Linked DNA regions of Callithrix jacchus. The protein of the gene in region 1 interacts with the protein of each later gene in a pairwise test. Links are inferred from orthologs where the notes say so. Each region holds a gene or a part of one and is shown in the gene's direction. Other genes may lie near its edges. The genes, in order: TRIM23, LGALS8, TBC1D22B, TRIM29, COX5B, HOXB5 and NEK6.

What was found.
Region 2: the proteins of TRIM23 (region 1) and LGALS8 interact in binary tests that used the Homo sapiens proteins (3 or more experiments, as listed by UniProt). The link is inferred for Callithrix jacchus from reciprocal best matches to the Homo sapiens genes TRIM23 and LGALS8.
Region 3: the proteins of TRIM23 (region 1) and TBC1D22B interact in binary tests that used the Homo sapiens proteins (3 or more experiments, as listed by UniProt). The link is inferred for Callithrix jacchus from reciprocal best matches to the Homo sapiens genes TRIM23 and TBC1D22B.
Region 4: the proteins of TRIM23 (region 1) and TRIM29 interact in binary tests that used the Homo sapiens proteins (3 or more experiments, as listed by UniProt). The link is inferred for Callithrix jacchus from reciprocal best matches to the Homo sapiens genes TRIM23 and TRIM29.
Region 5: the proteins of TRIM23 (region 1) and COX5B interact in binary tests that used the Homo sapiens proteins (3 or more experiments, as listed by UniProt). The two-hybrid records come from large-scale screens. The link is inferred for Callithrix jacchus from reciprocal best matches to the Homo sapiens genes TRIM23 and COX5B.
Region 6: the proteins of TRIM23 (region 1) and HOXB5 interact in binary tests that used the Homo sapiens proteins (3 or more experiments, as listed by UniProt). The two-hybrid records come from large-scale screens. The link is inferred for Callithrix jacchus from reciprocal best matches to the Homo sapiens genes TRIM23 and HOXB5.
Region 7: the proteins of TRIM23 (region 1) and NEK6 interact in binary tests that used the Homo sapiens proteins (3 or more experiments, as listed by UniProt). The link is inferred for Callithrix jacchus from reciprocal best matches to the Homo sapiens genes TRIM23 and NEK6.

What each region holds. Positions count from the first base shown.
Region 1 is NC_133503.1:143,875,339-143,878,838, forward strand, and holds part of TRIM23 (E3 ubiquitin-protein ligase TRIM23), read left to right. Parts: intron 1-2,705; coding exon 2,706-2,868; intron 2,869-3,500.
Region 2 is NC_133520.1:48,839,528-48,843,027, reverse strand, and holds part of LGALS8 (galectin-8), read left to right. Parts: intron 1-2,085; coding exon 2,086-2,235; 3' UTR 2,236-3,500.
Region 3 is NC_133505.1:45,628,680-45,632,179, forward strand, and holds part of TBC1D22B (TBC1 domain family member 22B), read left to right. Parts: intron 1-61; coding exon 62-132; intron 133-1,504; coding exon 1,505-1,633; intron 1,634-3,500. UniProt on the Homo sapiens protein: May act as a GTPase-activating protein for Rab family protein(s).
Region 4 is NC_133511.1:19,766,595-19,770,094, reverse strand, and holds part of TRIM29 (tripartite motif-containing protein 29), read left to right. Parts: intron 1-728; coding exon 729-821; intron 822-2,993; coding exon 2,994-3,092; intron 3,093-3,500.
Region 5 is NC_133515.1:6,951,296-6,955,292, forward strand, and holds the start of COX5B (cytochrome c oxidase subunit 5B, mitochondrial), read left to right. Parts: upstream 1-1,197; 5' UTR 1,198-1,216; coding exon 1,217-1,319; intron 1,320-2,475; coding exon 2,476-2,549; intron 2,550-2,720; coding exon 2,721-2,820; intron 2,821-3,994; coding exon 3,995-3,997. UniProt on the Homo sapiens protein: Component of the cytochrome c oxidase, the last enzyme in the mitochondrial electron transport chain which drives oxidative phosphorylation.
Region 6 is NC_133506.1:117,682,744-117,687,017, forward strand, and holds HOXB5 (homeobox protein Hox-B5), read left to right. Parts: upstream 1-1,474; 5' UTR 1,475-1,590; coding exon 1,591-2,152; intron 2,153-2,798; coding exon 2,799-3,046; 3' UTR 3,047-4,011; downstream 4,012-4,274. UniProt on the Homo sapiens protein: Sequence-specific transcription factor which is part of a developmental regulatory system that provides cells with specific positional identities on the anterior-posterior axis.
Region 7 is NC_133502.1:172,970,049-172,973,548, forward strand, and holds part of NEK6 (serine/threonine-protein kinase Nek6), read left to right. Parts: coding exon 1-39; intron 40-2,976; coding exon 2,977-3,087; 3' UTR 3,088-3,500. UniProt on the Homo sapiens protein: Protein kinase which plays an important role in mitotic cell cycle progression. Required for chromosome segregation at metaphase-anaphase transition, robust mitotic spindle formation and cytokinesis.

The sequences.
Region 1 (3,500 bases):
GCAGGTTCTCACTTTGTCACCCAGGTGGGAGTGCAGTGACAGGATCATGGCTCATAGCAACCTTGATCGCCTGGGTTCAAGTGATCCTCCCACCTCAGTTTTTGATTTTTTTATAGAGACATTGTCTCACTGTGTTGCCCAGGCTAGTCTTGAACTCCTGGCCTCAAGCAGTCCTCCTGTCTTGGTGTCCCAAGTGCTGTGATTACAGGTGTGAGCTACAGTGCCAGGTCTAAATGAATTTGATAATGTGAAACTTTTCCCTTTTAAAAAAATGGAGGATAAACTGAAGTATGTCTCTCTCTATATAATGATAGAATTATACACGAGTAGCTGTTCTCCAGCTGTGTCACTTTCTCATGGGGAACCAATGTTCCAGTGTTACTGGTATCCTATATATCCTTCCAGGAAGATAGTATGCTTATACAACAATATAAAAGAAATTTGCTCTCTCCCTGTTTTTATGCAAAAATGAATATATTCTATTTATCATTTTTCTTTTTGTTTTAGTCATAGGAAATCATTTTGTGTATACATGAAAAACTTTTTCTTACTAGCCTATGTAGTTTTTTAGTATTATTAAGTACCATAATTCATTTTCCAAGCTGATAATTGATGTATATTAACTTTGTTTTCAATTTTTTGCTAATGCAAATGGTGTTTTAAGGAATAACAGACAGATTTTGTCACACATGTCTAATATGCTTGTAGGATAAATTCCTGCAACTGGAATTACGGAATTATTTAAATTTTTGGTAAGTATTGACAAGTTGCCCTCCATAGAAGCAATATTGCTCAATGAACATTTCACAGTAATCAGTAATGTATGAGTGTCTCCTTTCCCACACCTTCACAACCAAGTGTTACCAACATTTTTTATCTAATCTGAAAAAAAGTATTTTGATGTAACTTTAGTTCGCATTTCTTTTCTTTATTTTCTTTGAGACTGAGTCACACTGTCACCCAGGCTGGAGTGCAGTGGCACCATCTTGGCTCACTGCAACCTCTGCCTCCCAGGTTCAAATGATTAGCCTGCCTCAGTCTTCTGAGTAAACTGGGATTACAGGCACCTCACCACCATGCCCAGCTAATTTTTTTGTATTTTTAGTAGAGACGGGGTTTCACCTTGTTGGCCAGGCTGATCTTGAACTTGGCCAGGCAGGTCTCAAACTCCTGATCCTTGGCCTCCCAAAGTGTTGGGATTACAGGTGTGAGCCAATGTACCCAGCCTTAATTTGCATTTTTCTTATTAGTTAGATTGAACATCTTTTCATGTAAAGAATTTTCATCTTCTTTTCTGTGAACAATGTTAATGTTTCTTATTTTTATTTATTTTTCTTTTCCCAAAGCCTTATTTACATTGAAGGACTAAATTTAAATTTCTTTTGAAGCATAATAAGATGAAAGGCAATTCTGAATTATCACTTTATTTATGGTGAAAGATATTTGCATCTCATGCACTAAGTCCAAGTTAATTGCAGAGTTAGGTTTAAAATCGTAGTAGATTTAGTCTGATTTCTTCCTTGGGCTTAATTGCTTTTAAATTATTTTGCTGGACTTTATGTAAGCAGTAGGTACTTGGTATTTGAAATATCCTATTTCTGAGGGTTCTTTGGTCTAACAGGGAAAAACAGGCTGAAAAACTGGTAAAGGTATTAAAGTGCTTAGGATGTTATGGTAGACACTTACACAGAGTTGGGCCCAAGGGACAAGTGTAGTCCTTTCCTCAGCGTTAGCATGAAGAGACATGAAACGGTTTTTCATGTTCTGAGAACTACAAGCTGTTGGATATAGTTGGAGCACAGGGTCAGAAGAGTGTGGCAGTGAAGCAGTAGGACAAGAACCAGTTTGTAGCAGGTCTTGAATGGCAGACACAAGAGTTTGAGGTATGATTGAATAGTACAGTGTAGGCATTTTAAAAAAATTAACAAAAATGGAAACACTACAAATATACTTAGAAATAAGTGCTGAAAATGCTTTATTGGTATAAATACAGTGTTGACTATAAAACATAAACTTATGGACTTGAGAATCAGAATATGCTGATAAATAGCCTTTCTTTTGACTGACTGTGTAGCCTTGTGCAAGTCATTTGCCTATAACTAGAACTAGATAAACTAGTTTCTAATTCAGAGCTATATTTATTGATAGAGAACAGGAATTGAAATTTAAGTTTAAGGTGACTGCTTCTTTGCCTTTATATTGTTTGATGTAATTAGATACTAGAAGATACTTGAAAGTTACTTGTAGTCTTAATAAGTTCTTTATCATTTACAAGAGTAATTATTATCTCTGTACATTTTTTAGATTATTTTGTTGAAATTAATGATAGTTTATTTTGTTGAGATTATTCATAGGTTAGGTAGTTGCAGAGAAATTGCTTAAGAACCCGCTTTCAGTAGAATTATATATTTGTACAGATTCAGATGTAATGAGTCAATCATAATTTTCAAAAGATAATGAAAATGTTAACTTACAGCATCTTTGCCTCTAACAGTATTTCAAAGATATTTCATTATAATTTTGGCAGGGTCTGTCAGATTGAATGACTTAAAAATGATTTAAGATTTTACAACCTACATAGTTTTTTTCATGGAGGAATAAAGTAACAATGTTGATTCAATATATTAGGTCAGTTTTCTTACATACTTAAAAATGTATGCTTTTAAAATTGTTTGAAGAGCGCATCCTTTCTTTTCAAATATTAGGTGCTAGAGTGTGGAGTTTGTGAAGACGTCTTTTCTTTGCAAGGAGACAAAGTTCCTCGACTTTTGCTTTGTGGCCATACAGTCTGTCATGACTGTCTCACTCGCCTACCTCTTCATGGAAGAGCAATCCGTTGCCCATTTGATCGACAAGTAACAGACCTAGGTAGGAAAATTATTTGTGTGGATTTAAGATTGAAAATTGTTCATGTAATGCAAATGTCATAGAAAACAATTTCCTTTCACTTGGTTTTTAAAATGATAAAATTCCCAGGAAGTTTTAGAAAGCCTGAGTTTCTGTTAAGATTAATAATCTTCAAGCTATAAACTATCTCACTCTTAGTAATTTTATCTTCTGAGATGTTTATATTCAATACTTACATGTAAAGAGCTTTAAGTCACCTAAGAAAAACCTGCTATCCTGATTCAATGAAATAAGAATATGCATCACAGGGTGAATCATTTGCCTGAAACCATTAACCCAATAAAACAATATTTTCTTTAAAAATAAATAAGCCAATAATGAAAATACAGGTAAGTCATTAGAGTCTCAGAATGTTTTTATTTACTAATATCAAAGACGGAAGTGTTTGTAGCTTGTGATCGTTACTCTTTATTTTCTGTTAAAATAAGTTTGAAGGGTTTGTGGATTTTTTTTTTGTGGTTTTCTATATACTTTTAAAACTTTCTTAATATATTTCAAAGTAAGTTATTTTCAGGTACCAGATTTGGAAATAATAGTATTTACTAACATTTGAACAATTATTTTTACAAATATAAGTTCTGTGAGTTTACTCT
Region 2 (3,500 bases), on another chromosome or scaffold:
TTGGGGTTCACTGGAGGGAAATAGAGGGGAGTGTTCCAGAAAGAAGTTGAGCCCTGTGGTTGGTGACAGGAAACTAACGATGCAGCTTGTTTTCGACGTATCTGGGACCCAAGTTTGGATCTACCAATTAATATAAAAAAGGACAATAATGATACATTCAAGTCATGCTGAAAAAAACTAAGATGAAAATATCTCCAACTTCGTAATTCAAATCATTCCATTAGGATTCGATGAAGCACATTCCAGATATTCTTTTGTAGAGACACAGTGAAAAGGACGGCTGGCTGAAGGAATGAATCGATGGATATTGTATGCTTCCGAACAATGTCTCTTCCGTTTGTTAATTTTCTACTTCACCAACGGTCATTATCCTCATGTTGATCACTGTTGACGATGTTCTATACTGACAGGTCCTTTCCAGGGGCTTCCATCTCTTGCTTTTCCAACATGCTTGCACTGAGACTATCTCAGGTCTTCCCATTATGCCATTACTTTCATTTAAATCTTCTTGCTGTTCAAACATACTTTAGTTGTATCTACAGTGTTGTTTTAAAAAATCTCATTCGTTGTTGTCATTTCATCTGTGGGCTCTTCTTCTGGATGAACTCCATGTTCTCCCCAGCTGTTCGACAGCATCAGATAGTTGTGAGGGATTGTTTTCTGTTTTCCTCTAGGCTGGGGGTCTTGCAAATGATGTGCTTTCTTTTCATTTGCAGTAGTCCGCTCACCCAGAGGCATGTCATTTCCTTGCCACTTGGTTGTAAGTCATTGGCTCTGCACTTGCTCTGATATAGTCCAGGCTTCGACTCCCTCTGCTGCCAACTTGGTTTTCCTTCTGAGCTACAGCATGAGGCTGTGTGTTTTGTGTTTTCCTGAGATTTTGTGAAATATTTCCAAGTCCCTTCTACCTGGTTAGAACTGGGATCCCCACCATTCTTGTGGGGATAGAATCTCGGGTTACACATACTTCCCCAGTCCTCTGTAGCCATAGAAGTTTCATTTTGGCCAGCTCTGTTATCAGAGTGCAGGACTCAGCTGAAATTTCCTCCTCTTCCTCTTTTCCTCGACAGCCCTTTTCACTGCTCCTATCAAAAGAATGAAGACCTCAACTTGCTGCTTTGCAGATTCAGGTTTTATGCTCCAGTCTGGCCTCTGGAGTGGGGCCAGGTTGGCAGCAAGGTTGAGCTTCCCCTCTTCTGAAGCCTTCATGGGGGCGAGGAGCACAGGGAGAGCTCCGTGCAGGACCTCCCAGTGTCGTCCTCAGTGTGGGTGGAAACCCAGCCTGGCACTGGCAGCGTGTACCAGAAGTATGAGGTTTAGGTATAAAGATGATGTAAAAGGCTAGTAGGTTTTCTGGGTTTTCATTGTTTGAGTTTGGGGCACAGACGACTGTCAAGGGCAAAGACTAGTGATGAATTTGAACGGACTCTGCCAGGATGTGCATCCCTGCTGACTCAGGGTACCCGGCTTTGAGGACTTTGGAGAAACACACTGAGGCCAAGATGTGCTGAGCTGGGATGGAATCAGGGTCACCAAGCAGCTGTAAAAACCGTAGCAGCAAGTGCCTTAAGCTGCTGAAATTTCATATTAATTGTCTGGTTTGTTCATGGTCCTAGAGTTTGAGGCAGAAAAGTCAGGATCCAAGTCCCTTGGTTCCAGTCTACTAGCTGGAATCAGCATCTTAGTGAACTAGAGTGACAGTGTAAGTTTTCCCACTTTAGGAGAGTCCCCAGCATCAGTGAGGAGGGGTAGCACTCCACCTTTCCAGGAGCGAGGGGCAGGATATCCTGGCCCAGAAGCGGGGCCTGTCCTGAGGAAAGGAGGGCCACAGGCCCTGGGGACGTGTGAGGCTCCAAACATGTCCGAGTAACTTCCCTGGGTGGGATGAGGCAGACAGTGCCACCACCAGGGATACTTTAGTGAGATTAGGGTCTTGGGAGTCAGAGAAGGGAAGTCAGCAGCAGCAGGCTAGAACTTTTCTATATATAAAGCAAATCACATCGTTTACTCTGACACCCTATTAGTGTGCAGCAAACATTTTTAAACTAAGGGGAACCAGTAATGGCTTGTTTCCTTTCCTTTCAGATGATAATTTATTGTGATGTTAAAGAATTCAAGGTTGCAGTAAATGGTGTACACAGCCTGGAGTACAAACACAGATTTAAAGAGCTTAGCAGTATTGACACGCTGGAGATTAATGGAGACATCCACTTGCTGGAAGTAAGGAGCTGGTAGCCTACCTACGCGAAACACAGAATGCTACAGAAACCGAAGTACAGAATGGCTTCTGTGATACTGGCCTTGTCGAAACGCATCTCACTGTCACTCTATTGTTTATATTGTTAAAATGAGCTTGTGTACCGTTAGGTCCTGCTGGGTGTTCTCAGTCCTTGCTATGAAGTATGGCAGTGTCTTGCACCGAATGGGGAGATTGGGGGCAGTAGCATTTACAGCCAGTTAAAGCCACTCTGCCCTCTCTCCTACTTTGACTCTAAGAATCACATTCACCAGGTATTTATGGAGTACCTACCATGATACAGTAGCTAACATGTATTGAGCACAGATTTATTGGTTAAAACTGCGCAAGGAGATGGGATATACAATTGGTGGTGAAACAAACCAGTGTGTTCCCTGTTGTCTTGGGCTTCGACTCTTCTGTGCTTTACCGCTGTGCACTGCTTCTACAGGCATTGCATCAACTCCCAAGGGGCCCTCTGGGATTAGAGATGCAGCTGTTAAATCACCTGAAGACACTAATTTATAGAAGACGCTACCCCTTCCCCAGTGATCGCTCATAACCAGTGCTCCAGCATATCCCATAACTGAGAGGACTGATGTTGACTGACAGTTCATTTTCTTTAGCATAATAAACATAGAGCTCTATTAGCTGCAAGCTTTACCAAATAATAACATGACATCTGAACACGGCACAGAAATTAAGGCAAAAAAAAAAAAAAAAAAAAAAAACCAAAGTAAAACTAAACAAAAAAAAGGTGCTGAAATTAACCACTGATGTCAAGCCCAAGGCAGCTGATTTCTGTGTGTCTGAACTTAGGGTGAGTCAGAGTCTACACAGACTCCTACAGAAAGTTTAAGGAAGAGGCAAGATGCATTGAATTTGAAAGATATTCATGGGTAGTAAAGTAAGGTCAGGATTAGACTTCAGGATTAGACAAGGCAGGCACTATCGAAAGTGTACACCAACTAGGAGACCCACAAAGCAGGCAGAGGTAATACAGAAATCAGTTTTGCTCCCATGCAGATCACCACTCAGGGCCTCCATTCTTCTAAAGATGAGTCCACCATTAGCACCTGAGATCAAAGCACTCTTCTGTGTTAAGTGATTAAAGTCAAACCTGTATCAAGTTAAATTGTTGCATTTCTGTAATTTTTCTATTATTTGAGGGGAGTTGGCAGAAGTTTCATGTATATGGGATCTTTACAGGTCAGATTTTGTGACAGGCAATTTCAAAGGTTTGGAAGTGGGGAGGGAAAAAAGT
Region 3 (3,500 bases), on another chromosome or scaffold:
TGCGGTTTGCTTTAGGGCATTTGTGGAGCGTTAACCTAACAAGGCAGTTTTCTGTTTACAGATGAACTGAGGAAGTGTAGCTGGCCAGGGGTTCCCAGGGAGGTTCGACCTGTAACCTGGAGACTCCTATCGGTGAGTTCTGCCCGCTGTGTAGGGAAATGTGAGCCTCATACGGCCCTTCTTGCCTGACGAAGTTAGTCTGGACACATTGGTCTTACTCCATAGACTGCTCTGGTCCTTGGATATGACAGCACTATGGGACTATAGTCCTATTTCTGTGCATAAAGAAACACATTCTTGAGAGTTTATTCACACACATGTAGAGGCACACAGACTTGAACCAATAGTCATGGTCCCACGTTCTTAACAGTGAGGAACAAAAATAGAGTGAGATAGGGTGATCACAGCACTTGCTTTGAGCAAGCTCCAACATTTCCTGTGCTTCGCTCCTGTTTCAGTCAGATTAACCAAAGTGTTGAAACCCACTTTGAACTGTGAAGAGCTGATAAATGGGCCTCTCTTGGAAGCCTTACTAGTCCTGTTTTCACCAAGTACAGAGAGAGCACTGTGCCAGCCGCTATGATAGGAACACTTGGGTTTCCTGAGCCTGTAAAATTCATTCATTCATCTAGGGAAGATTTACTGAGGGCCTGCTGTTTGCCAGGCATAATGCCAGGTGCTTTGAGCAGATACAAAACCACGGTCCCTGCTCTCCAGGCACTCACTGCAGAATGCATTACAAGTTTTCAAGAAGAAGGGTCTGTCTCCTGACTGCTCGCCCCACCCCTACTCTTGCAACCATGTAATCATTGCCTCCGCCACTTCTAATAAGTTTGAATGCTATTCAGAGTAGATTTGGTGAGAACGGAAGGGAAACAGAAAACATAAGAATGAGAGTGGGATCTAGACCAGGGATAAGAATGAAAGTTGGCCTGGAATTTTGGCTAGGCGGGGGGGATGCTGCCAGAAGTTCTGTCTGGGCGTTGTAGCTGTTATGTCACAGATTCCATTCAGCTGCTTCCTAAGCTGGTAATTCTGAAAGTTACACTGGAAAAGAATGTAACTGGCACCAGCTTAACTTGGCACACTGCTGAGATGTGCTGTAGAGGTTGCTATATCCCTGCAGTTCTCAGAAGTACAGCCCTGCACACACGCAGCCCTCTGAGGCCATGACTTGAGGCCAGCTCCCTCCCACTGACCTACATTCACTCCTGTATTGTGCCAGCTCTGGGAGCTGAGGAGTGCTCATCAGTGGCACAAGCTCCAGCACAGTGCAGGGCCAAGGGAGTCAGTAATCCCGGGAAAGCTGGCCTTGCTTCATCTGCTCACATGTGGATCTCATTGAATGAAGAGAGGGCAAACACTGGGTGGCCAGAACCAAAAAGGGATTTACCCTTGGCAGTTTTCCTTCTTGATAGTTTCCAAACCATACCACTGCATAGACTAAAATAAGGATTTATCCAACCATTGTCTCTCCCCATCTGACCAGCAGTCTTGTCTATAGGGCTATCTCCCCGCAAACACTGAGAGGAGGAAGTTGACCCTGCAGCGGAAGCGGGAGGAATATTTTGGCTTCATTGAACAGTATTATGACTCTCGAAATGAGGAACATCACCAGGATACCTACAGACAGGTACAGTCATCCCCAGCTGCCTTTTCGCTTACCAGTCTTACTCTTTAGGTATGTCTCGTGGTAGCGCTCTCAGGGCACAGGATTTCCAAGTCTTCAGGCTGTGGTATACTGGTTAGGAGTTAAATTTATCCTCAAAACCTTTTCTCCTCTTTTCATTCAGCAGCTCTGATTTTAGCCATTTTAAATAGACTTTTTTGGCACTAGTCAGTGGCAGTGCTTCTCAAACTTTAATGAACATACAAATCACCCAGGATCTTAATAAGATCTCATCTAGAGATTATGAGAAAATGCAGATTCTGAGTCAGTGGGTCTTGGGTAAAGCCTGCAGTTCTAACATGCTCCCTGGTGATGCTGCTGCTGCTGGTCCACCAACCACACTGTGAGTAGTAAGATTTATTGAGCATGGAGAGAAAAGAAAAGCTCACTTAGTAGCGGTCCAGTTCCTCTGGACTATGACATCAGTATTCTTTCGGCAGCTTCAGTACTGGTTCGGCACCTATGACTGTCTGTAGGAGCTGTAGCTGTCAGTAGTCTTGTCAGGGAGTCTTCCGTCATTGCCCATAGCAGTCCTCATGGTCTGTGGAAAGGTTTGCTCCCAGCATCACATGTGGAGGGAGGAGAAGAGTAGGCCAGGCGTTGCAGAAAGTGGAAGGTGGGCAGCTATCTACAACAAGCCTCAAGAGCTGAAGTAGCCTCTGCTGCTGCTGCTGCTGCCGCCGCCGCCGCCGCCACAGTCTTTTGCATAGTTAGACTGAGCATTGGGAAATCTCCGAGTTGAAATGGACCAGATCAATGTCTTAGGTGACAGAAGTAAGAACTTCCAGCTTCGGTTACTAAAGGGCAACTCCTTTTGGTCCATCCCCACTTCTTTTTTTTTTTTTTAATTTGAGATGGAGTCTCGCTCAGTTGCCCAGGCTAGAGTGCAGTGGTACGATCTTGGCTCACTGCAGTCTCCACCTCCTGGGTTCAAGTGATTCTCCTGCCTCAGCTTCCCGAGTAGCCAGGATTACAGGCATGTGCCACCATGCTCAGCTAATTCTTATATTTTTAGTGGAGACAGGGTTTCACCATGTTAGCCAGGCTGGTCTCAAACTCCTGACGTCAAGTGATCCGCCCACCTCAGCCTTCCAAAGTGCTGGGATTACAAGCATGAGCCACTACCCCTGGCCCTTCCCCACTTCTTATATGTCATGACTTCATAAAGAAGTCCTTCTCTGGTTCCCTGTTTTAGGACATTTTTGCAGCTTTCTGAGCTCTTTTAGTTCTTAGAAACTGTTGATAAGTAAGATTCTAAAAGAAAGGTATCTACTTGGATCGCACCTGCTGCATACATGCCCAGCCCAGATTGAAACAGACTTCAGAGCAGTAAGAAAAACCCCTTAGGCTGTGAAGCCTATTGCCATTTGACTTAAGTGGTTTCTACTGAGAGGTCTCACTGTTCAATATGCTACTGCTATCATGGAAATATGTTCCACATGGGCAGGTAGGTATAACTAGATTTTTTTCTGTGTTAGTCACGCCTTTCTGAAGATAAATTGAGCTCTTTTACAACTTTGATTCCCGTTTCTTTAAAAATAAAATTAACAACTGGCTGGGCGTGGCGGCTCATGCCTGTAATCCCAGCACTTTGGGAGGCTGAGGCGGGCAGATCACCTGAGGTCAGGAGTTCAAGACCAACCTGGACAACATGATGAAACCCCATCTCTACTAAAATACAAAAAATAGTCGGGCATGATGGTGGGTGCCTGTAATCCCAGCTACTCGGTAGGCTGAGACAGGAGAATCGCCTGAACCCGGGAGACCGTGGTTGCAGTGAGCCGAGATCGCGCCACTGCATTCCAGCCTGGGCGGCTGAGTGAGACTCCAT
Region 4 (3,500 bases), on another chromosome or scaffold:
GCTAAAGGGACTGGATCCTGAGTCTGGGAGCTTTGAGGTTAGCGGGATTGACAGTGGCTGTGATTCCTTCCCGGGAGGGGTGAGTTTCCAGCAACCTGTGCTCAGTAGAGGGGACATGACTGTGATGGGCAGAGGGCATCAGGGACCACCGGCACAAAGGCTTACAGGCGGGACGGGCGGGGCTGGAACTGGGGGTGTGGTGTCTTCTGAAGGTCAGGTGGGGAGGGACAGAGGTAACAGAGGACTGGAATACACAGGGGAGCTCACTGATTTCAGTTGTACAGTGGGGGTGTCAGTCACCACTGCTTCCTCACGAGGCTGTTGTGAGAGCCCAGGTGTGTGGGAAGGAAAACACTTGTGAAGTGAGGCTCTGATCTCCCGGGAAGCAGTGCCTGTGTAGGCCCCTGGGAGGTGTTCTTGGTGCATCAGGCCAACTCCAGGAGGCTCCATCCTCATGGGGCTGAGAGCCTGCCACCTCTGCCCCAGCGGTGGCCATGGGCTCTCCAGGTGTATGCTGATGCTCTCTGCATGGCTAACAGAGCCCTTCTACTCTCAAAAGCATGCTGATTTGGGTGATAAATTAGTTGATTACCTTATGTCAGACCCAAAGGACCTCTCTCAGTGGTGGAATCCAGGTCTTGTGGTGGGCACTTGAGCAACTTTTGGGGGCAAGGAGTGCTGCATGACACCCTTTTCTACAATGACAGCTCCCTTCATCTGCTTCGCAGGTGGGGCCCGGACATCTTACCAGCCCTCGTCTCCCGGCCGCTTCACCAAGGAGACCACCCAGAAGAATTTCAACAATCTCTATGGCACCAAAGGTAGGTGGTGGCTCAGCTTGAGGCTGCACAGGGTTCACATGGGGCTGTGCAGGCAGGAGGGGCATAGAAGTGGGGCCATGGGGCATGGGGCTGGGTCCACAATGTGAGCTGGGATGGGTGGGGGGCCCAGACATGGGTAGGGAGAGGTCCTACCTATGGAGTTTGAATTGTGTGTGGATACATTCGTGGGATACACCATTACTTAGGCTGGTGTCCCTGAAGTGCCTGTGCTCTTTTGATCCCTGAGGAAGAATCTGGGGAAAACTGAGGCTGAGTAGCCACCTTGGGCATAAGTGTGGGGACCCCCCACCCCGCTCACAGCAAGTATCAGGGCACGAGGACCCACAGAAAATCTCTACTGATTTGTGTACTTCTGCAGTGAAAAGTTGTACAGTGGCTAAAACAAGTTAGTTTGGCTGTGACTAGAAAAGAAGGCATGGCAGGAAATGGGGCTGGCCCTGGAGCTCCAGGCAGGGAGGTGATCAAGCAGCACCTCAAGACCCAGGAGAGGTGAAATGGGGGTGGGGACGTGCCTGTCCCAGGGGAAACTGCTCAGTTCAGGGTCTCCCTCTGCCCAGTGCTCTGAGGGGACCATTTGCCCAAGAGCAGGGCCATGCACTCAATGAGACGTGGTTCTGAGAGGCCCTGGTTCTGTCCTGGGGGCTCCTGGTTACATGCCAGCCATGCATGGGGAGGGAGAGGACCAGGTCAGCCCCAGGCCCGGACATAGCACTGGAGGATTCTTCAGTGAGGACAAGACCTGTGGAGACAGGAGGGTCAGGGGCACCTGGAGGACAGAGCAATGCCTGGGCCTCTATGACCAGGACTGGATTCACAGCCAGGACCAGGGGTACCTCCTCTTCCACATATGCAGTAGACCGTGAGCACCTTGAGGACAAAGCTTATTTGTCCTAATCAATGCTACAGCCCCAGGACTCAAAAGTAGGAAGAGGTCAGGCCAGGAAGCAGCTGTTGAGAGAGATGAAAGGCACCAGTGAACAGAAGGACAAGGTGTCTGGCCTCGCGGAGCCCTGGGTGGGCATGCTCATGGAGGCCTTGCTACAGAGGCTGCCTGTGATCCCTGTGGGGGGGCTTTGCACTGGGGCCAGTGGCCAGCCCCAGCCATCTCTGAGCCCTGAGGCCAAAAGTCAACCCCAGCCCTCCCCACAGACAGCTGACGGGTGAGCTTGACTAAGGAGGCCACTGATGCTTCAGGCCTGGTGGGTGGGGGTGTGGTGCTGGAGAAGGGTGCGTCACCCACAGGGGCTCTGAGCCCCCACTCCGATGCCCTCTGAGTGCCCTGGCTGCTCCTCCCACCCCCTCCTCACTGCCTTCTTTGGACTACGGGACATGCCTGCACATAGGCATGTGTTAGTCTACTCAACTTGGCAATTATCAGCTGCCTCTGTCCCCAAATTTTAGGTGTTTGTATTTATTTGTTCATTGGTTCATGCATTCTATCCATCAACCATACAATGAGCACCTTCTGGGAACCAGGCTCTGTGCCAGGCTCCGGGTGTGATGCAGGGGCCAGACAGGCACATTCCCGGTTTGTGTGAGCTCTCTGCGGGAGGCAAACAATTGAACAAGCAATGGCAACCCAGAGGGTAGCGGGCGCAGCACGATGTGGGGAGGGGGCTGAGGCACATGGAGACACTGGGAAGGTGCCATGTAAACTGACACTTGAAGACCCCACACATGAATCACCGAGGGTGGGGAACAGCAGGAGGGTCCTAGGCAGAGGACAGGGTATGGGCACACAGCCTGGGGCAGGAGAGAAACTGGAGTGTCTCAGACAATAATGCTCAGCCTGGTTGGAATGCTCTGTGGTGGAGGGAGAGCAGACATGAAGCCAAGAAGTGGGAGATGGTGGGTGGGTGGCAGGGGTTGTGGGGAGCAGCTCATGACAGAGTTGTGGGCTGCGCTTGGGACTTTGCATCTTATTCTGAGGACAGTGGCCTTTAGGTAGGGCAGGGAACTGTCTATGTTTTATATTTTAGAAAGGTAACTTTGGGGCAGAAGGACAGGGGTGAGGCATCACTGGGATCACAGAGTGGCATCTTGGCTTAAGTCGTGGCCAGCAGCTGGAGAGTCACTGACCTGGCTGTGTCCTGGTCGTGCCTCCTCTCCCATGCCCAGTTGTGGGGGCCTGACAGCCCTTTGCCTTGCCAGGTAACTACACTTCCCGGGTCTGGGAGTACTCCTCCAGCATTCAGAGCTCTGACAATGACCTGCCTGTCGTCCAAGGCAGCTCCTCCTTCTCTCTGAAAGGTAAGCTTGCCCAACCTGGCCCCCTGCTTTCCCTCGCAGCTGACCGCACCTCCCAAGCTCTGCTTTGGTCTCTTCCCTGAGCCACTAGTTCCTCCCTCACCTTCTGGAGGAGAGAGCTCTGGCCCAAGAGCCTGGGGAGCTGCCACCATGGTCTTTGCTGGAACCGAAGGCAGGGTGGGGGCTGGGCCACATCAGTGCTTCCCAGGGCTTGTTTTACTGCACACTAGTCTCTAACGACAGGCTGCAACAGCGGCTCTCAGTGGTCAGGACAGGGGGACACACCACACCCCCTGCACCCCGACCTCTCTGATCCTAAGTGTGCTGCTTCTGCTGCAGAGTTTATTGAATTCCCAGCGTTGGTTGGCTATAGGGTCCTGTGGGCCTGGAGCACCCGCCAGCATCCCGCAG
Region 5 (3,997 bases), on another chromosome or scaffold:
AAAGGTGGTTTTTGTATCAGAATACAGGTGTTTGTTTTTTTTTTAATTGGTGGAGGGGGCACCCATGAAGACCAGACGTGCTCCTGGGAGGCAATGCTCCACCGTGTCCTTTTGAAAATATCATAGCCTGCATGAGACAAGTGGGAGCATCTGAGCCTTCAACTCTACCCAGTTTGCTTCCAATTGACCTCACTGGGCCAGGAGAAGCCCTATAAACTGGTTTTATATAGTCTATCCAAGTAGTAAATTTACTAAAATTACTGGATCCTACTATATACCAGACCTCTGCAAGGCATTGAAAATTCAGTAATGAGCTAATTCCACTCTAAAGCGATTTTTCTATCTGGTAGGGAAACTCAGATACCGCATGCAGCTAGCCTGTCATAGGGCTACACAGACTAAAGCTCACCCTAAGAAATTTGCACATCTTAGCCTGTGGGGGCAACGGAAAGCTATGGACGGAAGATGTTTTCCGTTTCAAACGGAATTCCAGTCACAGCAGGATCTGACTCCATTTCCCATTATCAACTCCCCTTTTTAACTTCTCCTCCCCTAGTGGCCTCGAAGAGTGGCCACTTTCTCTCTTCACATCAGCAGGCTCTTGGTCCTGGGCGGGGTCCTGCCGCCGTCCTGTCCTCCTCCCTAGGCCGGGACCCCGCAGGGACCCCGGCGCCTAACCCCCCACAGTACAACTCTAACAGGAAACTGGGCCAGTACTGCAGGTAGGTCCCGTCCAATGCAACACGCTCGCGACGGCTCACGCACTGCCAGAGAACCAGCGTTGCCACTAACTAGCCTAGCAAGGAACGCAGAGATCTTTAGGAGCCCACTTTCAAATTCAAATCATTTGGGGTCCAGTCAGTCTCTTGACAGGCGGGGACTTAATGACTTCCATCAGTAGCCTCCAAGTGCAGGCCAGATACAGAGGAACTCCAATGTGGTTTAGCCGCTGAGCTCCAAACACCAAAACAACTTGCTCACCTCTCAGCCTTACTAAAGAGCAAACCCGCCCCCAAGCCTCAGCTACTGTGCGGTGCAGGGAAAGGCACACTTGAGCATGCGCAGTTTCCGCCCCCGCCAAGGTGGCGGGAGTGGGCGGGCCCGAGGGCGGGGAAGGAGCGGAAAGCTGACCGGGAGGAGAAAGAAGCCCGCCCCCGGAAGTCTCTCCTGTCTTTGCATCCTGTTCCCGGAAGTGCTGTTGCTTGTCGCGGACGCGATGGCTTCAAGGTTACTTCGCGGAGCCGGAGCGCTGGCCGCGCAGGCCTTGAGGGCTCGCGGTCCCAATGGTGCGGCCGCGGTGCGCTCCATGGCCTCTGGAGGTACTCGGCTCCCCAGGCTTGCCAGGGACCGGAGTATTGCCCTCCCGTAGTGGTCCCAGGGCGGCAGAGCGGGGCGTGACGTGCAGCTACTAGAGGTCCCAGTGACCGCATACGGTCCGGAGTGTCTCAGGCTCTGCAGGCATCTTCCTATAATTCCAGGCCGCTGCTCCTGCCGCCCCCCCGAACTGACTCCTCTGCGAAAGTATCCTAAACGGAGGTGCCGGGTGACCTTGGGAGGGGTGGGGACTGCGACCGGGTTGGGGAGGGGTCCGGCCGCCCTTCAAACCTGCGCCCGCCTCAAGCCGAGTGGGCTCTAACTTGCTTTTAGACAAATGTCGACAAATTGGTCTCGGTGGTTGGAGAAGGAAAAGCTCCTACGCCGGGCGCTCACGACTGTAATCCCAGCACCTTGGGAGGCCGAGGTGGGCGGATCACCTGAGATCAGGAGTTCGAGACAAGCCTGGCCAACACGGTGAAACCCCGTCTCTATTAAAAATACAAAAATTGGGCTGGGCGTGGTGGCTCACGCCTGTAATCCCGGCACGTTGGGAGGCCGAGGCGGGCGGATCATCATCTGCGGTTGGGAGATCGAGGCCAGCCAGGCCAGGACGATAGGAAACCCCGTTTCTATCAAAATTACGAAAATTAGCCAGGCGTGGTGGAGGGCACCTGTAATCCCAGGTACTGGAGAGGCTGAGGCAGGATAATTGCTTGAACCCGGGAGGCGGAGGTTGCAGTGAGCCGAGATCATAGCACTGCACCCCAGCCTGGGCAACAAGAATGAAACTCCTTAAAAAAAAAAAAAAATTAGCTGGTCGTGGTGGCGTGCTCCTGTAATCCCGGCTACACAGGAGGCGGGAGAATCGCTTAAACCCAGGAGGCAGAGGTTCCAGTGAGCCGACAACTTGCCATTACACTCCAGCCTGGGCAACGAGGAAAAAAAAAAAAAAGCAGCAGCTCCCCCAAGTGCTGCCCCTTGTGTGGATCATGATTTGGTGGTTCTTTGGGGACCATGGATATGAGTAGCTTTTAGGAGCTTGTGAGCCCACTAAAACGTATGCAGAAGTTTCAGTGTGGCATTTTTCTTCTTGATCATTTCTGTTCCTAATTTTTCTATCATTTCAGTCAGCATCATAATTCACATATCTTCCTGTAGGTGGTGTTCCTAGTGATGATGACCAGGCGACTGGGTTGGAGAGGGAGATCATGTTGGCTGCAAGAAAGGGACTGGTGAGAAACTCCTTTCTGTGTCTTCCGTGGAACTTACGTTCTTGTATGTGTTCATAGTAGTCTCCTCTCTGGGAGTATTTGATCCAGGGAACTTGGCTTATAGGAACACGCTGAGCTTCTGGAACGTAGGGCTTATTTGGCATAATGGTTCAATTCTTGTGTTTTTTTCAGGACCCATACAATATACTGCCCCCAAAGGGAGCTTCAGGCACTAAGGAAGACCCTAATTTAGTTCCTTCTGTCACCAACAAGAGAATAGTGGGCTGTATCTGTAAGTACCTCACCTCTATTTCTTTATCCACTTAATATATATCCTATAGTACAGGAGTCTATAAGCTGCTTTAAATCTTTTTTTTTTTTTTGAGACGGAGTTTCGCTGTTGTTACCCAGGCTGGAGTGCAATGGCGCGATCTCGGCTCACCACAACCTCCGCCTCCTGGGTTCAGGCAATTCTCCTGCCTCAGCCTCTGAGTAGCTGGGATTACAGGCACGCACCACCATGCCCAGCTAATTTTTTGTATTTTTAGTAGAGATGGGGTTTCACCATGTTGACCAGGATGGTCTCGATTTCTTGACCTCGTGATCCACCCGCCTCGGCCTCCCAAAGTGCTGGGATTACAGGTGTGAGCCACCGGGCCTGGCCAAGCTGCTTTAAATCTTATAGTGTGTGAATACATGTTTGTAAATGAGTTTCCCTATGGGTCTTGTTCAAGCCTCATTATGCCTGATAGTTCATCCTTCCTGGAAAGAAGCGCAGCACGGTGGAAAGACTGGCTCAGTGGAGGTGTGGCATGAAGGAGTATCCACCCAGCAAATATTTATTGTTATATTGCTTCTATGCCAGGCATCGTTTTAGACAGTAGGGATACATACCAGAATGGACCTCCTTTGTGTTCTACATGGGCAGGGGAATTGTTAGAATTTACAGTGAGCCTTGGCTGGGTGCTGTGGCTCACACCTGTAGTACCAGCACTTTGGGAGGGTGAGGCGAGCAGATCACGAGGTCAGGAGATCCAGACCGTCCTGGATAACATGGTGAAACCCTGTCTCTACCAAAAATACAAAAAATTAGCTGGGCATGGTGGTGCACACCTGTAATCCCAGCTACTTGGGAGGCTGAGGTAGGAGAATCGCTTGAACCTGGGAGGTGGAGGTTGCAGTGAGCAGAGATGGCACCACTGCACTCTAGCCTGGGTGACGGGGCGAGATGAAAAAAAACAAAAGAATTTACAGTGACCCTGATATTAGGTCATTTTACTTATAGGTGGACTCAGAGCCTCAATTTCTTCATCTGAATAATGGGAGGAGGGCTTGAACTGACCATTATTGGTCACTATCTTGACCATAGTCTGTCTTGTGTATCAGAGGTGTCTGAGGAAAAGAAATTCATGTTGAAAGTCTCCCTTTCTAGACAGAATGACTCAACCACCTTTTTTCCCTTTTAGGTG
Region 6 (4,274 bases), on another chromosome or scaffold:
CCAGCCTTGGCCCTCTGCTCCCTGCCTGTGGCTCTGGAGACTGAAAAATGGGGCCACTGGGTATCTCTCGCCCTGCAGCTGAAGGCTCCAGGTGCCCCTTCCCACCTCAAGTAGGAGATCAGCCATGAGTAGGGGAATGTAAAGCCACCAGCCAGGCACAGGCTGAGGGGCACGGCTTTCCCTTGCTCCTTGGAGACCCCAGGGCAGGAAGCCAGGTGATGGGGCATTTAGTGTCATCCTTTCAATCCAGAATGGCCCATTCTCTCTCCGCTCCCACGGGCACCCAGAGGGCAAGCTGTGGACACTGTTTTCCTTTATTCCTCCGCCCTCTCGCTCCCTTTTTAAAGAAAATCGTCGCCTCGTAATAGGGGCCCAGCTGCGGCGGTCTCTGGCCGCCCAGCGTGCTCAACAAACCGTGCGGGTCCTTGGAACCCCTTTTTCGGGAAGGCGGCTGCCACCAGGCAAATTCTCAAACTGCCCAGCTGCGAATGAGGGGCCTGGAGTGGGGCCTCCGAATGCAATAGCCGAGGAGGAGGGAAAGGGTCCTGCTTTACAAACTCTCAGACACATGTTACTACTCAAACCCAAGCCACCGACACGGTGGCCGCTGCAGTCTTTTCGGCAACTAGGCCGCTTAGCCTCAGCTGTGCTGGGTTTCTGGGGTCCCTGTCCTGCTCTGCCACTCCCCAGGCCTGGGCTAAGGACCACCAAGGAGGTCAGGAAGGGGATTTCAAACTTCCAAGTGGCCCAGGAGAAGTGAACGCTTCCCCTGCTGCTTTTTCAAGCCACCCGTCCAGCCCCACGCTCGGTCTGGGAGCTGTGGACAGCAATAGCAGTCCCTCCAGGATGCAGGTCGGGCTGAGCTCCGGGGGAGAAACTGTTGCAATAATTGTTTTTCACACACAACTTCCAACCCTTCCCCCATTTCCGCCCCCAATTCAGAGACTTGCAAAGCCCAAGAAAGGGAAAAGCAACTTAATCTTTGATCTTCTCATCCAAAGTTAAAATAATAACGACGATGATGTAGGGAAAAGGACCCAAGTAGAGAGGCTAACCCCACCCACAAGAAAGTGGGTAAAAAGCTTAACGCCTGCTCTAAAACGCTCAACCCTGTGGCTGAGCCTTGGCCGGGTTTCTTTCTCTCCCCGCGGCTGCAGGGAGCCAACAGGGAGGCAGCCGCCGCCGCCATGGCGGTCTCCCTCCCGAGCTCCCGTCGATCGCCGGGAGGTGGCGCGCTCTGCTCAGAGGCCAACGCCAATCTGCTCCCCGTTTCTCCCCCTTCTCCTTTTTTCCCCCTCTCTCGGAGGCTCGCATTGAATCGGCCCTAACGATTCTCGGATCGTCATTATTTGTAACCATAGAGCATGAATTACCTCTTGAGGTCATCAGCGAGAATTTACGACTGGTCAACAAAAGCACGTGATTCCCTAACGCCCCCCCACCCCCCTTCCAACCCCCCCCCATATTTGGCCGCATACATAGCAAAACGAAGTACAGTGCATCGCTATAATTCATTAATACATCATAAATCGTGAAGCACAGGGTTATAACGACCACGATCCACAAATCAAGCCCTCCAAAATCACCCAAATGAGCTCGTACTTTGTAAACTCCTTCTCGGGGCGTTATCCAAATGGCCCGGACTATCAGTTGCTAAATTATGGCAGTGGCAGCTCTCTGAGCGGCTCTTACAGGGATCCCGCTGCCATGCACACCGGGTCTTACGGCTACAATTACAATGGGATGGACCTCAGCGTCAACCGCTCCTCGGCCTCCTCCAGCCACTTTGGGGCGGTGGGCGAGAGCTCGCGCGCCTTCCCGGCGTCCGCCCAGGAGCCCCGCTTCAGGCAAGCGGCTTCGAGCTGCTCCCTGTCCTCGCCCGAGTCCCTGCCCTGCACTAACGGCGACAGCCACGGAGCCAAGCCCTCTGCTTCGTCCCCCTCCGACCAGGCGACCTCGGCCAGCTCCAGCGCCAATTTCACCGAAATAGACGAGGCCAGCGCGTCCTCGGAGCCTGAGGAAGCGGCGAGCCAGCTAAGCAGCCCCAGCTTAGCTCGGGCGCAGCCAGAGCCCATGGCCACCTCCACAGCCGCGCCCGAGGGGCAGACTCCGCAGATATTCCCCTGGATGAGGAAGCTTCACATCAGCCACGGTAATTCTCTCTCTTTTTTGTCTTCTCAGCTTTCCTTCTCTGCGTTTTGGGGTGGGATGTGGGGACAAGGAGAACCTGGCTTTCCCCCAAATATAGATTTATTTTTCCAAGGGGGAGAAGTCTCTGAGAGGGGCCTCATAGCTTTGTAGACAGAGCCAAACAGGGTCTCTCTGTGGTGGGGGGTATTTTTAATAATTTGTTGCCAGCTTCGGCTTAGGTTTTTATTAGCTCAGCTATACCAGCATTAGGATAAAGGATGGGGTTCATATAATGTGGGGAAGAGTCCTGCTTACCCCTGAAATTTTGAGACTACCGCTAGCAAAGAAAGGGTGAGCTTTCTGGGGCAAAAGTGCAACCGCTCTCCTCCCTCCGGGGCGAGCGGCCGCCTGAGCCCAGCCAAGGGTGAGGCACTAGGAGTCAGCAAGAGACAAAGCCGGGCGCATTGGCTGCCGGCAGAAGTGGGGGATGCGGGAGAAGGGGGTGCAGAAATCGAGCTTGAATGTGGGCATCTGGAGTAGAGAGGATTGGAGCTGCGGTGAGCTGGGTGCCGGGACGCCTGGGTCCTGCTCCCCCGCCCCCTCCCACCCAGTGCCCCCTCCCTTAACCGGAATAACATTGCCTTGCGGCTTTCCTCTATCTGCTCTAGATATGACTGGGCCGGACGGGAAAAGGGCCCGGACCGCGTATACCCGCTACCAGACCCTGGAGCTGGAAAAGGAGTTCCACTTCAACCGCTACCTGACCCGGCGACGGCGCATCGAGATCGCCCATGCACTCTGCTTGTCGGAGCGCCAGATCAAGATCTGGTTCCAGAACCGGCGCATGAAGTGGAAGAAGGACAACAAACTGAAAAGTATGAGCCTGGCTACAGCCGGCAGCGCCTTCCAGCCCTGAGCCCGCCCAGAGGAGCCCAGCGGCCCAAGAGCCCGTGCCACCCCCAGCCCTGGCCCCTTCAATCCTCCCCGCACTGCCGCAGCCCGCTGGGGACCGGTTCCCACAAGCCTGCCTCGCCCCAGCCTTGTGTTAAGATATTTCGATATTTCCTTTGGTCTTAGGTCTTCCTGTGGCTCCCTCTCTCCTGGACTGGTTATCTTGTTATTATTGTTAATAATAATTATAATTATTATTTTCCCTCCATGCTCCCAACTCCCTTCCGCTTGCCCCAAATCCACCAGTGTTTCTGAATGTTTGTGTCTGTGGTTGCAGTCCTTCCCCCAGGGAAAAAAAAAAAGAAATTCGCATGTTTAATGTGAACTCTCCCCTCCCCATCTGTGTTCTAACTTATTTATAAAAAGATGATCACTGTATTTTGAGTTTCAGCTGGAAACTTCTCTAAGGGGCAGCAGTTGAGTTGGGGTAGTACCGCAGTGGGGCCAAGCTGAGCTGGCCTCTGAGATGGAGTCTCTTTTCATTCTCCTTTCCCTCCTTCCCCACTCCCCAGGCCCAAGTCTCCTAGGGGCTTGGTTCTAGGGTGGGAAGAGGCTGGGGAGGACCAAAGGGGTGATACTGAGAAGAGAGAAAGAAGATAGTGAGATTTAAGTTCCTGCTGCCTGGGTAGGCCCCACAAGGCCTGGTCTGGGAGTATACGGAAACAAAAACGATCTTCAGTGTAATATGTCTTGTGTATTTCTCTGTGAATCCATAGGTCTGGCTAGAGGGCCCAAAGCTTGTAAATATGGGGATAGTCTGGGTCAGACCCATCTGTTCCTTACCCATTTCTCTTCCAAGACCATTTGTAGTGAGCGAGCGGATGCTGTGCTACGTGTGAAATCTGTCTTTGCGGGGCCTGTCTCGGTGATTCGCTTTTGGTATATGTTTGTAGCTTTCCTTGAAGTCAAATAAATGTTTCCCCCACTCCATTGCCCTTCCACTTGTCTTTTCTCCGAGGGGTTTACCTCTCCCATCCCGGGCACATCCTGGACCATTCTTAGTAGATCTCGGATGCAGGGTGGAAAAAGTAGGCTCTCCCTAACAGCTCTTCTCAGTCCTGTAAGTCCCTGGCTTGGTCAACAGTGCTTGGGCCAGGGAACAGACCTTCATGCTTGGGGGGACTTCAAGGCCCAGAAACCCCATGTGGGGCTGGGGCAGGGGAAAGGCTGAGCTAGAGTCCATCCTGGTCTTC
Region 7 (3,500 bases), on another chromosome or scaffold:
GACTACCCGCCCCTCCCCGGGGAGCACTACTCCGAGAAGGTGAGTTTGCAGGAGCCGGAGGCTTCGTCAGCTCTGGCAGCCAAGGCTCATGAGGGCCACTCCAAAGCATCGCAGCTGAGGTCAGGCTTACTTTACATGGTACAGAAAGGGCACTTTCTGGAAAAGTGATTTGGAGAGGTGAAAGTAGGTGATTACACTGAAGAAGGGGTTTCACCACGCGGCTCCGGTGTAGGACCCCCAGGCGGGAGCCAGTGGGATGTGGCCCTTGGCAAACCTCCACCTGTTTGGCTCCCAGCTTGGTGCACCAGGAGGCCCGCTGCTGCAGGTCCCCAGGATGGACTCTGTGCAGTGCCAGACATGGAACAGATGCGGGGGCAGGATGTAGCTAGCAGGCCTGGCGTCCCCATACTGCCGATGGTTGCCACTGCTCCCATGGCAGGAAACCACGGCAGGGAGACTGGTCAGTTTCCTCCTTATAGTAACAGACTTAAGCCACACCCTGGGCTTCTACTGTCAACATTTTACACTGGCTGCAGGGGCCATGGACACAGACTCTGATGGGTTTGGTGTGGGCTGTGCCAGTTACTAGGAATGTGCAAATATTTTCTTCCTCGGCTCCAACACCTTGAAGATAGAACTAAACATTTTTGGTGAATAATCGTGAGGAAGATAGGTTTCTTGGCACAGTAGGGTCAAAAGTATAGACATGCCTTCACATACTGCCTGCACTGTTCCTAGGTGAGTCACCTAACCTTCCTGAGTCTGTTTCTTCATCTATACAATGGGGATAATAATAAACCTTCCACACAGGATCAGCGTAAGGATTAGGGTAAGGCACCAAGCTAACACTGCCACCACCATCAAAAGTGGCCAGTGGACAGGGCCTGGCTCAGTCAGTGCTCACTAAATGTCATGTGACCCTTATTTCTGTTCAAGGTCAGTGCTAGTGGGTGGGTCTGGGGCCTCCCTGGGCCCACCCCATAGGACCACAGGCCATCACCTCATGATAATAGCTCATGTTCAGACTTCCTGAGTTGAATCTTCCCCTGACCCGTTGACCAATAAGGAAACAGACACAGGCGATTTAAAGACAGTGAGGCAGGATCGGAACCCAGACGCCCAGCCAGAGCCCTCCTGCTACTTGGTGGCATGTCCCTTTGGTGCCCCATTAACTAGCTGGGGTGAGGCTCTGGAAGGAACACCCTTGCCCTGGCCAAGCTACACAGGACAGGTCCCACATGCTCTGCCCATGTCCAGGCAGGAGGCTCCTCGCGGGGAACCTGCGCTCAATGGCGTCGTGGACTCCAGGGCTAGAGCACGAGTGCTCTGGGGCACTGCACACGGCCCTTCCTCTCCTAGCTTCACAGTTTCAACCTGTACCTTTGGAAGAAGTATTGATGCTCCCCAGTGGGAGGAAAAACAAGTTGCATCTCTTTACAAAGTGAAGAGTTGCCATTTGCTTTTTCCTTTCTCATCTTCTGAATTTGGACTTGTGTACAATTCAGAAGCTTGAAGCCGTGCAACTGAAGCAGATGACAGCCCTGTGCTTTGGTTGTCAATCTATAAACAGGAACTGTCCTCTCTGCTTCAGTAATGAGGCTGAAATGAACACTGAAACCCCCCGTTCCAAGTCAGCCATTTCCTGGCCACGAGCCCCCGCTCCCCACAGCACCAGTTCTCACCAGGCCTGTGCAGCATTTCTGGGCCCCATGCTTGGGGTTGAGAGGTGGTACTCAGGAGCCCCTGGACACACCCTAGTTTTAGTTACATTGCTGCTTAGAAATGAAAATAACATATGTTATCATTTCTCTTGAATTCTGAAAACTTCAAACATGGACTTACTGCCAGCTGTGTGTCTACTTCATCAGTTAGTGCAGGTCACAGACTCTTCACCTGAATCTGGTTTTTCTGGGATTTTAATCTGTCAGAGGCCAACCACAGGTACCTTCCCCCGAATAGTGTAAGGTTCAGAAAACAGCCGTCTGGTCCATAGGCCACCTCAGACTCCAGGGGCAGCCCAGCAGGCTGCAGGCCCCGCTGTCACCTGGGCTTCTCCGCTATAAGGCATGCATACAGGTTGGAGCGGCTGACCTAAGGCTCTGCAGCCCAGAGAAAATGCCCCATCACCTCAGGAGCCTGTCTACAGGAAGCCCAGGCCCCACCCCTCAGCCTAAGGACCCTGGCCGGCACTAGCCCCTGGGCCTCCAGAATGTCCCTTGGCCCCTCCCCTGAGTGTGACCTCTGAGACCACCAGAGCCTCCTCTGGTTCAGGACCTCCTGGCTTCCTGCTGCCGCCATGGCTTGTGGGACTGGCCACCCCTCCAGCAGCAGGTATTTAAATGAAAACCAATGATGGTGAGCCCGTGATGCAAGTTAAGAAGATGTAGGCATTTTAAGGTCATTATTTTAATTACCATTAAAATAATTGGCACTCTGGCTATCATAAGAACTGAGCCGATCAGAGGCACTTGTGCCCCTCCCCCACCTCGGGGCAGGAGCAGCCTTCAGTGTCTGTATAATTAAAAGCTCCATCTTTCATGAGCACAATAAAGGGGCCGAGATTGGGCAGGCTGCAGCCCTGCTGCATGTTAATGCATTTATTATGATCAATAAGCCCTTTCCTTGAGTTTTGTCCTCTGGTTTGGGCATCTGCGTGACTGACAGTACACACACACACACACACACACACACACACACACTTTCCCAGCAGAGAGAAAGACACACCCACAATTTGCCCAGTGGTCTTAGGGTCTCAAAGTGCACTAGGCCCAGGAGGGGTCCTGGCTAGCCCTTGGGAGCCACGCGGCCGCACGCCCCTTGCCTGCCCCCACTAAACACTGTTCTTCAGCTCTGCGGGGACAACGGGACTGTCTAGTTGCTCTGAGGCTCAAGTACCTTCATGCAGATAGATTGCGGAGCATGGAGCCTCAGTAAGGCTGCTTTCTTGAGAATAACCCACCGTTCTCTCCCCTGCAGTTACGAGAACTAGTCAGCATGTGCATCTACCCTGACCCCGACCAGAGGCCTGACATCGGGTACGTGCACCAGGTGGCCAAGCAGATGCACGTCTGGATGTCCAGCACCTGAGCGTGGATGCACCGTGCCTTACCACTTTGCCTTACCTGAGTCGTCTTCTCTTCAAGTGGCCACCTGGTAGCCTAGAACAGCTAAGCCCACAGGGTTCAGCAGGTTCCCCAAAAGGCTGCGCAGCCTTACAGCAGATGCTGAAGGCAGAGCAGCTGAGGGAGGCGCACTGGCCACACATCACTGATGGTCAAATTCCAAAGTCCTTTCTTTATTCTGTTGCGGACAATCCCAGCTGGGTTAACAAGGGCAGTGGCTCAGTGAGCCACGGCAGCCCTGTATCTGGATTGTACTGTGAATCTTTCCGGTAATTCCTCCAGTGACCTGTCAAGGTCGATGCTAACAGGAGACTTACTTGCAGGAGACCGTGTGATTTGTATAGTGAGCCTTTGAAAATGGTTAGTACCAAGTTCAGT